Saccharomyces cerevisiae S288C: one gene and its partners. The main gene of each other region encodes a partner of the protein of the gene in region 4 in a complex. Each region holds a gene or a part of one and is shown on either strand. Other genes may lie near its edges. The genes, in order: ERI1, GPI19, GPI15 and SPT14.

Region 1 (2,249 bases), 150 kb from region 4:
CCAACTTTAATAATCAACGCAACGGATGATCCAGTTACAGGTGAAAACGTAATTCCGTACAAACAAGCTAGAGAAAATCCTTGTGTGTTGTTATGCGAGACTGACTTGGGTGGACATTTGGCTTATCTCGACAATGAAAGTAATTCCTGGTTAACAAAGCAAGCTGCCGAGTTCTTGGGCAGCTTTGATGAGTTAGTTTTATAAATATGTTCTTAGATAAAATTCCTTACACATAATAATCTGTTCTTTTATTTCTCTATTTACCATCCTCCCCACGCTGTGCTTTCCAATCCGCCGATCCACTTTCTCTACCACGATTAGATGATTTCGAAGCGGCACTGACGCTTTCGGATTTCGTTTCTTGTGTCTTTCCTCTAATCAGCTCTATCTGTTCCTGCTCATCGCGACATGCAAGTTGGTATATCTCGTCATCATTTAACGAATACCTCAACCTCTTCGTTATAAATTGACAAAGGAATTTTAAATCTTCTTCCTTGATTTGATCTCTGGGCAGCTCGTTTTGGAGGATATAGCGTTTACTAACGTCAACAACGCCATCTTTACCGAACGCAATACAGTAACTCATTTTCTTGTTCCAGTTAATTGAATAGATATATGGTTGGTCGAATGATTGCTCACAGGAGTCGACATGAACCCACCTATTCAAAAAATTTGAAAAATATTCACACCAAACATGATCTTCTCTATTCCAGACGTAGCGAACATCTAACCCAAACGACTTCAAAATCAAAGTAAATAAATTGCACCATTCACCGCATCTTCCCTTTCTAGTTTCCAGCAACTTAATTGGATCGTTATAACGAGGAAATCTAGTGATATTTCCGCATCGGTTGCATTTATAGATCTCAACAGTTCCGCAATTGAATTTAGATTCCTCTCCATTGGGCCCTTGACTGCCCAGAGGTGTCATATTTTCTGAAGTGTTCTGGCCACAATGATTACAATCTGGTTTATTGCACCATTTGAAAAAATCTTGTTTGAAGTAGCGAAGCAGCTCCTTTACTAGATAATCCGTGTATATATTTTCCCCCTCTGCATGCCCATCTTTGGCAAATTCCTTATCAACATTTTTATATATTAGATCCAGATCCAATGTCTCCAGGACTATAGAATGCCATGAAGGATTGTCATAGACTGTACAGAGATGTTGACTCTGACCTAGGACTCCTTGTGCGAATTGATTTGTATGGACTAAATTCTGAAACCTTATATTCTCTACAGGTGCAGCTTTCTTGAATTTAGACAGTATGAAATCCTTATACTTAATTAACAACATTTTGGCTATTGAATCAAAATCTATGTTATTTTTTTCGTATACCTCTCCCATTGCTACTCCACCTGTTACCTTCTTCAGGTTGTTTTACGTCTTCTATATCTGTTCCCAACGCATCCTTTTTTCTTCGCTACAATACAAGGAAGATTACACTACGCAAAGTTTCGAAAACATCAAGAAGCATAGAACAGTTGAAACTAGGCAACAGGACTGTTTCAATTACATGATTGAGAATTTATAAGCGCATGAGACCACGTGACCAAGGCTTTTTGGTTTTAGGGTTTACTTACTCGGTACTCCTAATTAGTCTTGCTACATTTTACTGGTTACGCAACAATGACTCTTTCCTGCACTACTGGTGTGTATTACTGCTATGCCCTGCGACTCTCTGGCTGTGGGCCCTCATAGCCTGGTGTGACAGTGAAATGTTCGCAAGTAGTAAAGATGAATAATCGTTTATAATCTTATTTACAAGTCAGTGCATAAAATGATATAATATCACCTCACGCATGCCTATTTTATACATGTACTTTATATACCTCCCTTTTTTTTAACGCATTTCTATTATAAAACACTTCTGCTTTCCTATCCTCAAGATCAGTACTCGATCATCTATCAGGAAAGGAGCCAAGTTAGAAATATTTTCGTTTACTTTAGATTTTGAATGATGCAGATACACGCTTCCCTGGGAAAGTTTTCTTCTGGCTTCTGATACTGAACAATTTACTAGTTTACAAATTAACTTTATTAAGTCAATCTCTCTATCAGCATACTGCAAAATTCTGGCTTTTTTACATAGATCAACTAACTTCGCAGCAGATAAAGTTCCGTCATAACGTCCAAAAATAATATTAGAAAGCGCTTCTGAATCCGATCCGGAGCCAACTCCATATAACATATCTGTGACTTCTTTAGCCAATAAAGTTTGGCCATAACGTAGACTGGGTGATTTGAT
Region 2 (2,773 bases), on a different chromosome or scaffold from region 4:
TTCATTCTCCTGCTTACTTTTTATTTTTTGCCTCTACCATCACTCTTATACATATCTAATTCTTCCTTGATCTCCTGCATTATTATATATATTCTTTTGAATATTCATTTCAACTTTCATCTATATGCCGCAGTTACCGAAAAATGTGTATGGGGGGGCCTACAGAATACGAGAATAGCCACAAAACGGTAAGCATTACAGCCTCACCATATAATAGTACTGTTAAGTGCATACATTCCAGTAGCCCCATATTATGACTTTATGCAGGACCGATGAAGATGTAGAAGATGGATCACCATGTGAAGGCCTTTCCACGTGACTTGAATTGTGTTGCACGTGACTAAACATTGTCAATTAACAGCAATAATAGAGTAACTATTAGAGCACAATTGCCAATCACGTTGGCGTAGTGTTCCCGTAGCCAGTTTGTATCTTATCTTGCGTATGCATTTACTGGGGCGATGTGATTGTGATGTTATGTCTCTGGACAGGTGCTGAGAAAAGCTATGTGCTGGTATGGTCGTTATCATATAGGTAGAGAAGTTGGCAGGCATCCATCAGAGACAGATCGTAAATACCACTTGTTTCTTTAAAGGCCCATTTCTTAACGAATACGTCCGGGTCGTCCTCTATTACAAGTTGACCACCGGCATCCGTTACTGTAGATAGAGAATCTAGCGGCGGTGTTAATGTATCTTCATTGTACATCAGAAGGCCGATGTATGTGCATAGCATGCCCATCAGCATTATGCTCTCCAAGGTAATAATCCATCTTCTTTGTGGGAAGATGTCCAATAGCGTGTTGATAAACTGCTTTGGTGCAGCCTCACCCAGCGATGATGGTAAGATGGACCATATTATGGTGAGCACCAAAGTGCTTGTTATTATCATATATTGTGAAAACCAGTAGTACTCTTTTGTATACATATTGTTTATTTATATCTTTTAGTATTAGACAGGAACAAACAGCTCAGATTCTTTTTTTGGCAAATCTGCTCTCCTCTTGTGATTGTTTCAACTTTCTTTCAGCACATAAATTTTAAAAGTTTACTGGGCCCAAGCAGGAACTTTATTAAGACAATAGGGAATAGTGAAAAAGCCGGCAAAGTGAAAATACAAAAAGCGAGCAATAAAACTCGTACTCTCAAAAAACCCAGAGGAAAGGAAATGAGAAATTGAATAATATTAATATTTACTTATTTAGATTCTCGTAAGATATAAGTGAAACTATAACGACAACTTTATCGGCGAAAAAAAGAAGGAAGAGGAACAACCAAAGAAAGTTTTCAATGAGCTTATTAACTGCAACATTAATATCTAGTTTTTCAGCGATTGGCTAATTTACGTTCTTGCCTGCCTTTTTTCATCACTTGTTTCAAAGCGGTACTGTCCAGTGGGTCCAACAACTCAAAAGAACAGAGTAGGCCTTCACTAACGGTCATGACAGCACCCCAGTTATCGAATTCACCACAATAGTTGGGAGCCGAAAACACTGTAACTAAGCTTCTGTCATTAAAGAATTCATAACCATCTTCCACCACCATATGTGCTCTACACACTAAATCGAATCCGAATTTGTTTAAAAATTTATTAATAGCCACTTTATTGTAACAAAAACTAACTCCACGCTCATTATCCTCCCATTCATTCGATGAATCTGTAGGATCCGACCATAAAAGGTCATTAATTAAGCCGAAGTCGGGTACATCGGTGGGCCTACTAACGTGCCTAATTTCGTCCATGGAATTTAGAACAGGTGATAGTCCACCATGAACACAAAATATTTTTCCTGTGACGATGGCTGCTAACGGTAGCGTGTTGAACGTGTCAACAAAGGTTTTCCAAATCTTGATATTACAACGTCGTTTACATTCATCATAAAACCCGTAGACTCTTGTAACATTGGCACATTCATGATTGCCTCTTAAGAGGAAGAAATTTTCAGGATATTTAATCTTATAGCATAGTAATAGTAAAATGGTCTCCAGGGACTGCTTACCGCGATCTACGTAATCGCCTAAAAATAAGTAATTTGCCATGGGGGGGAAACCGCATTTGGTAAAAAGTCTCAAAAGATCTGCATATTGGCCGTGAACATCACCCACTATTTTTACCGAGGGAGATAATTCTAAGAGAGCAGGTTGGGCAAGGAATAATTCACGAGCCTTATGGCAAATTTGAATAATCTCGGAATTCTTTAAGCAAACATTCTTGGTCCTCTTTGCGGCATAGCCGGCATCTAGTAATCTCTGGATAATTTCATCTATGTCCACTGGACGAACTGGTTTTTTCCTTTTCATTTCGACCATAGTATTAGTCCTAGATCCATTATCACCGTCTGCACAACTCCCGTGTACGAAATCACCTGTGGGAGATGGTGGGGAAACATATATTCTTTGACTGGAACTGGAAGACGATGAAGACCGTTGTCCTTTGCCCCGCGGACTAAGTGAAGATGATGAATCTCTGTGAGCTAGTGTTGGATATGCACTTAAATATTCTCTTTTTGACGCTGACGACGCTGACGGCGAAGGCTTGTCTATGTTTAGATTAGGGATAGGTGAGGTGCCTCTACCGTTGACGTTGTCTCCGCTATCGTCGTTGTCCCTCGAGCTCATTTTTCTTAACGCAGGTGAATGCAGTGGTGTGCTATAAGCTGTATTCCCAGTGGAGCCAAATGACGACTTCCTGGATGATGCATGCGAGTTTGATCTGTTTGAGAAATAGTCGCTGCCATTCCCTCCTGCTTCTGCATTTAAAGGATAACTTGCTG
Region 3 (3,046 bases), on a different chromosome or scaffold from region 4:
AGAAACCTTCGCTAGTTGGAGAACGCTCTTTAGAAGGCTTTACCTTAACCGGCACTAATGGACATGATAATGAAATAGGTGATGAGGGCCCCATTGACGCCTCGACCCAGAACCCCAAAGCAGACGTTATAGAAGATAATGTGACTCTAAAACCGGCACCCTTGCAAACCCACCGAGACCAGAAGGTACCGAGATCCAGCAGATTAGCTTCACTGAGTAAGGACAACGAAAGTCGTCCAAGTTTTAAACCGTCATTTCTCGATTCTTCCAGTAACAGTAATGGGACTGCGCGACGTTTATCTACAATCTCCAATAAGCTTCCTAAAAAGATAAGGCTTGGAAGCATTACAGAAAACGATATGAATCTGAAAACTTTCAAAAGACATAGGGTTTTGGGCAAACCTTCTTCGGCTAAGAAACCAGCAGGTGCACACAGAATCAGTATTGTCTCCAAAATTTCTCCACCTACGGCAATGACCGATTCTTTGGACAGGAATGAATTTTCGTCAGAAACTTCTACATCAAGAGAAGCTGATGAGAATGAAAATTATGTGATTAGCAAAGTCAAAGATATCCCGAAAAAAGTGAGAGATGGGGAGTCTGCTAAATATTTTATCGATGAAGAGAATTTTACGATGGCAGAGTTGTGTAAGCCAAACTTTCCTATTGGTCAAATATCTGAAAACTTTGAAAAATCTAAAATGGCAAAAAAGGCAAAATTGGAAAAGAGAAGGCATCTTAGAGAACTCAGAATGCGCGCACGACAAGAATTTAAACCACTACACTCATTGACTAAAGAAGAACAGGAAGAAGAAGAGGAGAAGAGAAAGGAAGAAAGAGATAAACTACTCAACGCTGACATTCCTGAGTCAGACCGCAAAGCACATACGGCGATCCAACTGAAGCTTAACCCTGATGGTACTATGGCAATTGATGAAGAGACTATGGTTGTTGACAGACACAAAAATGCTAGTATCGAAAATGAATATAAAGAAAAAGTTGATGAAAACCCTTTTGCCAATCTTTATAATTACGGGTCGTATGGTAGGGGTTCATACACAGACCCGTGGACTGTGGAAGAAATGATAAAGTTCTACAAGGCGCTTTCTATGTGGGGGACAGATTTCAATTTGATCTCACAATTATACCCTTATAGATCAAGAAAACAAGTGAAGGCCAAATTCGTTAATGAGGAGAAGAAACGTCCAATATTGATTGAATTGGCCCTTCGATCTAAGCTACCGCCTAATTTTGATGAGTATTGCTGCGAAATCAAGAAGAACATTGGTACAGTAGCAGACTTCAACGAGAAACTAATCGAATTACAAAACGAGCACAAACATCATATGAAGGAAATCGAAGAAGCAAAGAATACGGCAAAGGAGGAAGACCAAACTGCACAAAGGCTAAATGATGCTAATTTGAATAAAAAGGGATCTGGTGGTATTATGACAAATGATTTGAAAGTTTATAGAAAAACGGAAGTTGTTCTGGGTACAATTGATGACTTGAAAAGGAAGAAACTCAAAGAAAGGAATAATGATGACAATGAGGATAATGAAGGAAGTGAAGAAGAGCCTGAGATTGATCAATAAGAGACATTTATATGCATACATAATGGATAAATAGCACAACTTTTTGTTGTATTATATCATTTTCTTCAGGTGTACCGCGGCATCAATAAATGAAGCGATGTTCGGAAGAAAAAATTGGCAACGAAAACAGTATTATGAAAGTTACATATGAGGATCGTTCTATAAGCAAAAGAAACAAAAGGATGATATGATTAGTAAAGAGTATGAATTTGGTAAGACTAGTATACTGAATAGAAAGAAGTATACATTAGTTATCGATGAAGACAAGAATGGCAATTTTATAAGATTTACCGTTTTACCTGTATCTAACCGAAAGTTCAAAAAAGTCAAGCAAAATGGGAGGGTAGAGATTAACATGGGCATACAATATCACCAAATTGTACTTATTTTACTACTGAATATTTTGTTCTATGTAATTTGCCTAAGATCAAGATTTCTCGAACATATTAATAGAACTTTTGAAGTGACAATCGCGCGAAGTTTCCAGATCTTAATTATAATGGGATTGTTTGCCTTAGGTACAATTATACTTGTGAGGGGACCTAGTGTGGAAACTGTAACAATTTTCAAAGAAAGTGGACTACAGCTGTCCAGAGTGAAGGGTATGGTTATATTTCCTCAACAATGGAATCGGAAGTTCTTTGAACAAGTAGAGTTTATATCCAATGAAAGAATTATTGATGTAGTGATCAATGAAGGATTCTGTCGGGGATTTCGAGTGATATTCTATCTTGCAGCAATTGTACGTAAATCGTCTACGCTTAAGCTATTATTTCCAGTATGTATTCAAGCGAATTTAAGATTGTTTCTTACTTCAACGATCTGATTAGAAATACTAACACAACAATGCAGTCAAATTTGCCCAGTATCGATGACCAACGTCTAATATACAACATATCTAGAAAATATCTCAGTAAGCAAGAAAAACCCCTGAGCAGACCAAAAGATTGAACATCAAATTATCATTACAGAAAATCTTGAGACATTTTGGTATATACTTATATTTTAGTGTATGTTTATATATAATTATAGATAAGAATTTGAACACACTTAAGTTGCAGAACAAAAAAAAGGGGAATTGTTTTCATTACATGGTAGATAATTTGTTGATGATTTCATTCGTGAAGTCAGTAGTAGAAGAGGAACCACCAATATCTCTAGTGGTATGCTTACCTTCTGCGATCGTTTCATGAACTGCCTTTGAGATTCTAGTAGCATATTCATTCAAACCCAAATGGTTCAACATTAACGTGGAGGAAAGGATCATGGCAGTTGGGTTAGCCACATTTTGGCCTTTAATATCTAAACCAACATGTCTGGAACCTGGTTCGAAGACAGCATAGTCCCTGCCAAAGTTGGCACCTGCCACCAATCCTGGACCACCGATCAAAGCAGCGCCAATGTTGCCTAAGATGGTACCGTACATTGAAGGGGTAACTAGGACATCAAAT
Region 4 (3,799 bases):
AGAATATGGAGCTCAAACTATATCAAATAAAGGATAATAATACGTTGAACAAAATTTATTTAGACAGAGAGAAAGTAGATAGAGTAAATTTAGTTTCGGAAATCATGGAATTGAGAGAAACCATAAGACGACAAATAAAAGAGCAGAAACGAGTGAGCATCGATTTCAGCTGGTTAGACGAGCTTCCAGCTGTGGAAAATAAGCAACCATTCAAAGAACATATCAACCACAGTTTGGACACCTTGGGGATAGAAATGTTCAACTTCGTGAGTACCTCACGGATTTTAGATTTAAAGCTTGATCAACCTTTGGCAGAAGATGAACTCTGGCATGAAAGAGATCATTCTTACATTTCGTATTTAAAGCGCAAGAGGAAAAATATACGACTCAAATCTCAAAATGTTGTTACATATTACAAATGACTGAGTGATTCTAGCAGGTCTATAACATTCAAATACAGTAAATAAATGGATACAACATTCCTTTGTTTTGTGTAAAGTTTAAGTTTCTCTTGCTTCCTTCGTCTCGTTAGACACTGTTTTCTTGGGCCATTTTGGAGCTAGATCGATTTCATCCCTGGGGTATAGCCACTCTAAGAGGAAAAAAAGCATGTACTCTACAATTCCACATAACAGATAAAGATGTTTAGCCCAGATTCCATCTCTTTTGTAAAGATTTGCTACCATTTTCATCCAATCTTTATCATCAGCGGAAGAAGTAGAAGATATATTAGTATATATCTCTACTGTCCTTTTGGCTACGTCCATCCAGTCGTACATTTTAGACACGCTATCATGAAAAGAGGAAGTGTCCAAAGCTTTACTTCTTATGATATTGATAGCTTTATTTGTTGCTTGAACAAGGTCAGAAACGGATGTCTGTTCTGCATAAACAGTCATCTCATTTGGTAACACTTCGGGAATTCCTCCGACTTGTGTCGTTACAATTAGCAAATTACAAGATGCGGCCTCAACTAGAATTGTACCAAATGCTTCTGTTAAACTAGCGTGTAAATATATGTCACCTTGACATAATACATCCCTGACTTTCTCATGTGGAACAGAGCCTAAGAGTTGCACACGTTTTTGTAGTCTATGACTTTCAATCATTTGTTGAAAATCTATGAACTTTGGACCATCGCCCGCTACTATAAATTCGACATCTTCATGTGAGGAACAAACTTTCGGAATTATGCGAGTAAGTAAATCGGACCCTTTGTTTGGAAAGAGCCTTCCGATGACCACGATCACTATCTTATCCCTACTTTGTTTTCTCTTGGTGCCACCAGTAGGATCCCTTGGTTTGAAATCTTCGCTCACCACTGCGTTGGGAATTACTGAGATTATATCAGGACTTAATTCTGTTCTAACAATCATATTTTCTTTGCATGTATTAGAAACACATATAACCCGATCTATGTTTGTCAAGGTAAATGTTAGCAACTTATTCACCCAAATCGACGTTAAGTTATTAAAACCGTAGAGTGAATGGTCCGTGAACACAGTTCTCAATCCCATAGTATTAGCATGAAGAATTCCCTCGTGAGCGAACGTGGAAGCGCTACCATGAGAATGAACAATTTGGATCTGCTCTCTGAGAAGAATATTCCTTATTATTGGAAATGTTGAAAAAACAGTGGGGAAAGTGGTTTCTCTGAAAATCACAAAAAATGGTACGTGATAGACCTTTAGACCGTTGGTAAGATGTCGTACGCCGACTCGATCTTTGTAAGCGTGAGTTATAATGACGACAGAATGGCCCAAATCGATTAGTTTCTGCGATAAATGATATATATGGAATTCGACTCCACCTAACTGTGGATAAAAAAAGTCGCACAGCATCCTATTTTCATTGTTATAACTCTCAACTTTACTGGTTAGTATCAACAACAAAAGAGATCTTCTTTAATGTATTTGGAACACATGCTGTGAGCTAGACATACGCTATATTGAAGCCCATTGTTTTATATAATAATGTTAGAGTTAGCTAAGCTGTAGTTTATAGTATCTCGTATTTTTGCATAAGTTTTTTGAGGCTATTACTGGCATCGATTATTTTTAAATCGTATCAATGAAATTTTCTAGCTCGACAGTCTCGGGTTGCAAACGAAAAACTTAAAATAGCAGAATGAGATTATTCAATGAAAAGACCCTGAGATTTTTTTCAAGCTGTTATTTTTGGTATACATTGTATTAGACAAGTTCGCATATGAGTATACAAAGGATATGGTGAATACTAGGGGCTACACTACTCTTCCGAATGTTGAAGAACCAGCAAATAACTCACAAGATGAGCTAAACTCGCAGGACTTTGAGCAAGCTATAGGAATGCCATCAGAACCCCCGGTATATGTGGAAGAGATGGGGATGGAAGAACCGCAGGCTCCGGAAGCCTTTAGTGAGAAAGTCCAGCGATTTCGTATGTGTTTTGAAAATAACGTGGTGATTCCAGTAAAGAAAAATGTAGTGGATCCGCTAGCACAAATGATTTCCCTGGCCTCTGAGAAATTCGATTTGTTCTTAAGTAAAATAGGTAATGTTATGGTAATGAGGAGAATATTTTACATCATGATGATGTCTATCATTGCAGCGTTGATTATTGCGAGTGATAGGTTACCGAATGGAAAAGCTCGAGGTTCAAATGGATCATTCTCGGACCATGATCTCCTTTTACAGTATGCTCGGAAATCGATAGACCTTTCAAAGATAGAAAGAGATTTAGAGTATATTAGTAGTATGCCCCACATGTCAGGAACAAGTGGTGATGCCGCTATTAGACATTATATTAAAGAGTCGTTCGACAAAAATGGTATAAGGCTAGCTGGGGAAGAGGAGTTCATGGCGTATTCGAATTACCCAGGAAATGTCTCACTTCGTGTATATTCAAAGGATGATACAGAAGGGTTTGATATTCCCTTAAATGAGGAGAACTTTAACCCAATGAGCCATAATGGTCAATTGAACAACATACCGGTGATTTATGCTAATAAAGCATCGTTGGACGATATGGCTTCTATGCAAGATCAAGGGCTTTTAAACGGTGACTTTATTTTACTAGTGCATTACGGAGATTATGTTTTCCAACAAATGTTGACTGCTCAAGAATATGGTGCGAAAGCAATTATCTTTATTTCTGAGCCTTATCAAGACAACAAAGACGTGATACAAATGAAGTCAGTTGCGTTGCCGCAGTATGGTACTGGTGATGCACTTACGCCTGAATGGGAAGGATCAATAAGAGATCCTATCGATGCTACGGAAGCCAAGTGCCTACCCAAAATTCCATCCATACCGATATCTGCCAATCAAGGAGATAAAATACTAGCTATATTATCAGACACTGGCGTAAAGTTTTCTAATAATTTATTCAGTGGGTCGCTTAACGATTGTCGACTTGACCTACTAGTGCAAACAGCAATTAGGGAACGCCACCCGGTTCACGATATAGTTGGTAAAATTGAAGGATCGGAACAAGCGGGCAGGGCAATTGTTATTGCTGCACCGAGGAACTCTGCTAGTTATGGCACTATGTATCCTTCTTTTGGAACCGTCGTTTTGCTGTCTCTGATCCAATTATATCAAGAAATGGTTTACAAATTTGACTGGAAGCCTCTAAGAAATATATATTTCATTTCCTTTGGGGGCTCTGAATTTAATGAAGCGGGAGCCACGGAGCTGATGGAAAAGAGAACAGAGGCATTGAAGAGTGAAATATACACCATTATCGACGTCGGCCAAATCGGTATATGGGATGATAGTAACAATTTAGAGATACAATGTCATCCGCTACTAGTAGATCT

What was found.
Region 1: SPT14 (region 4) and ERI1 share a complex: the UniProt entries of both Saccharomyces cerevisiae proteins name them as parts of the phosphatidylinositol N-acetylglucosaminyltransferase (GPI-GlcNAc transferase) complex.
Region 2: SPT14 (region 4) and GPI19 share a complex: the UniProt entries of both Saccharomyces cerevisiae proteins name them as parts of the phosphatidylinositol N-acetylglucosaminyltransferase (GPI-GlcNAc transferase) complex.
Region 3: SPT14 (region 4) and GPI15 share a complex: the UniProt entries of both Saccharomyces cerevisiae proteins name them as parts of the phosphatidylinositol N-acetylglucosaminyltransferase (GPI-GlcNAc transferase) complex.

Annotation. Positions count from the first base shown.
Region 1 is NC_001148.4:366,026-368,274, reverse strand, and holds ERI1 (Eri1p), read left to right. Parts: upstream 1-1,539; coding exon 1,540-1,746; downstream 1,747-2,249. Other genes in the region: EEB1 (medium-chain fatty acid ethyl ester synthase/esterase), read left to right, coding at 1-204; PNG1 (peptide-N4-(N-acetyl-beta-glucosaminyl)asparagine amidase), read right to left, coding at 257-1,348; tyrosine--tRNA ligase MSY1, read right to left, coding at 1,845-2,249. UniProt on the Saccharomyces cerevisiae protein: Probable component of the GPI-GlcNAc transferase (GPI-GnT) complex in the endoplasmic reticulum, a complex that catalyzes transfer of GlcNAc from UDP-GlcNAc to an acceptor phosphatidylinositol, the first step in the production of GPI-anchors for cell surface proteins.
Region 2 is NC_001136.10:1,335,506-1,338,278, reverse strand, and holds GPI19 (phosphatidylinositol N-acetylglucosaminyltransferase GPI19), read right to left. Parts: upstream 928-2,773; coding exon 505-927; downstream 1-504. Other genes in the region: THI74 (Thi74p), read right to left, coding at 1-5; PPZ2 (salt homeostasis regulator), read right to left, coding at 1,326-2,773. UniProt on the Saccharomyces cerevisiae protein: Part of the complex catalyzing the transfer of N-acetylglucosamine from UDP-N-acetylglucosamine to phosphatidylinositol, the first step of GPI biosynthesis. Involved in cell wall biosynthesis.
Region 3 is NC_001146.8:555,238-558,283, forward strand, and holds GPI15 (phosphatidylinositol N-acetylglucosaminyltransferase GPI15), read left to right. Parts: upstream 1-1,782; coding exon 1,783-2,373; intron 2,374-2,447; coding exon 2,448-2,546; downstream 2,547-3,046. Other genes in the region: transcription factor TFIIIB subunit BDP1, read left to right, coding at 1-1,595; isocitrate dehydrogenase (NAD(+)) IDH1, read right to left, coding at 2,683-3,046. UniProt on the Saccharomyces cerevisiae protein: Part of the complex catalyzing the transfer of N-acetylglucosamine from UDP-N-acetylglucosamine to phosphatidylinositol, the first step of GPI biosynthesis.
Region 4 is NC_001148.4:216,790-220,588, reverse strand, and holds SPT14 (phosphatidylinositol N-acetylglucosaminyltransferase SPT14), read right to left. Parts: upstream 1,960-3,799; coding exon 1,943-1,959; intron 1,843-1,942; coding exon 501-1,842; downstream 1-500. Other genes in the region: NIP100 (Nip100p), read left to right, coding at 1-422; TRE1 (Tre1p), read left to right, coding at 2,226-3,799. UniProt on the Saccharomyces cerevisiae protein: Catalytic subunit in the complex catalyzing the transfer of N-acetylglucosamine from UDP-N-acetylglucosamine to phosphatidylinositol, the first step of GPI biosynthesis.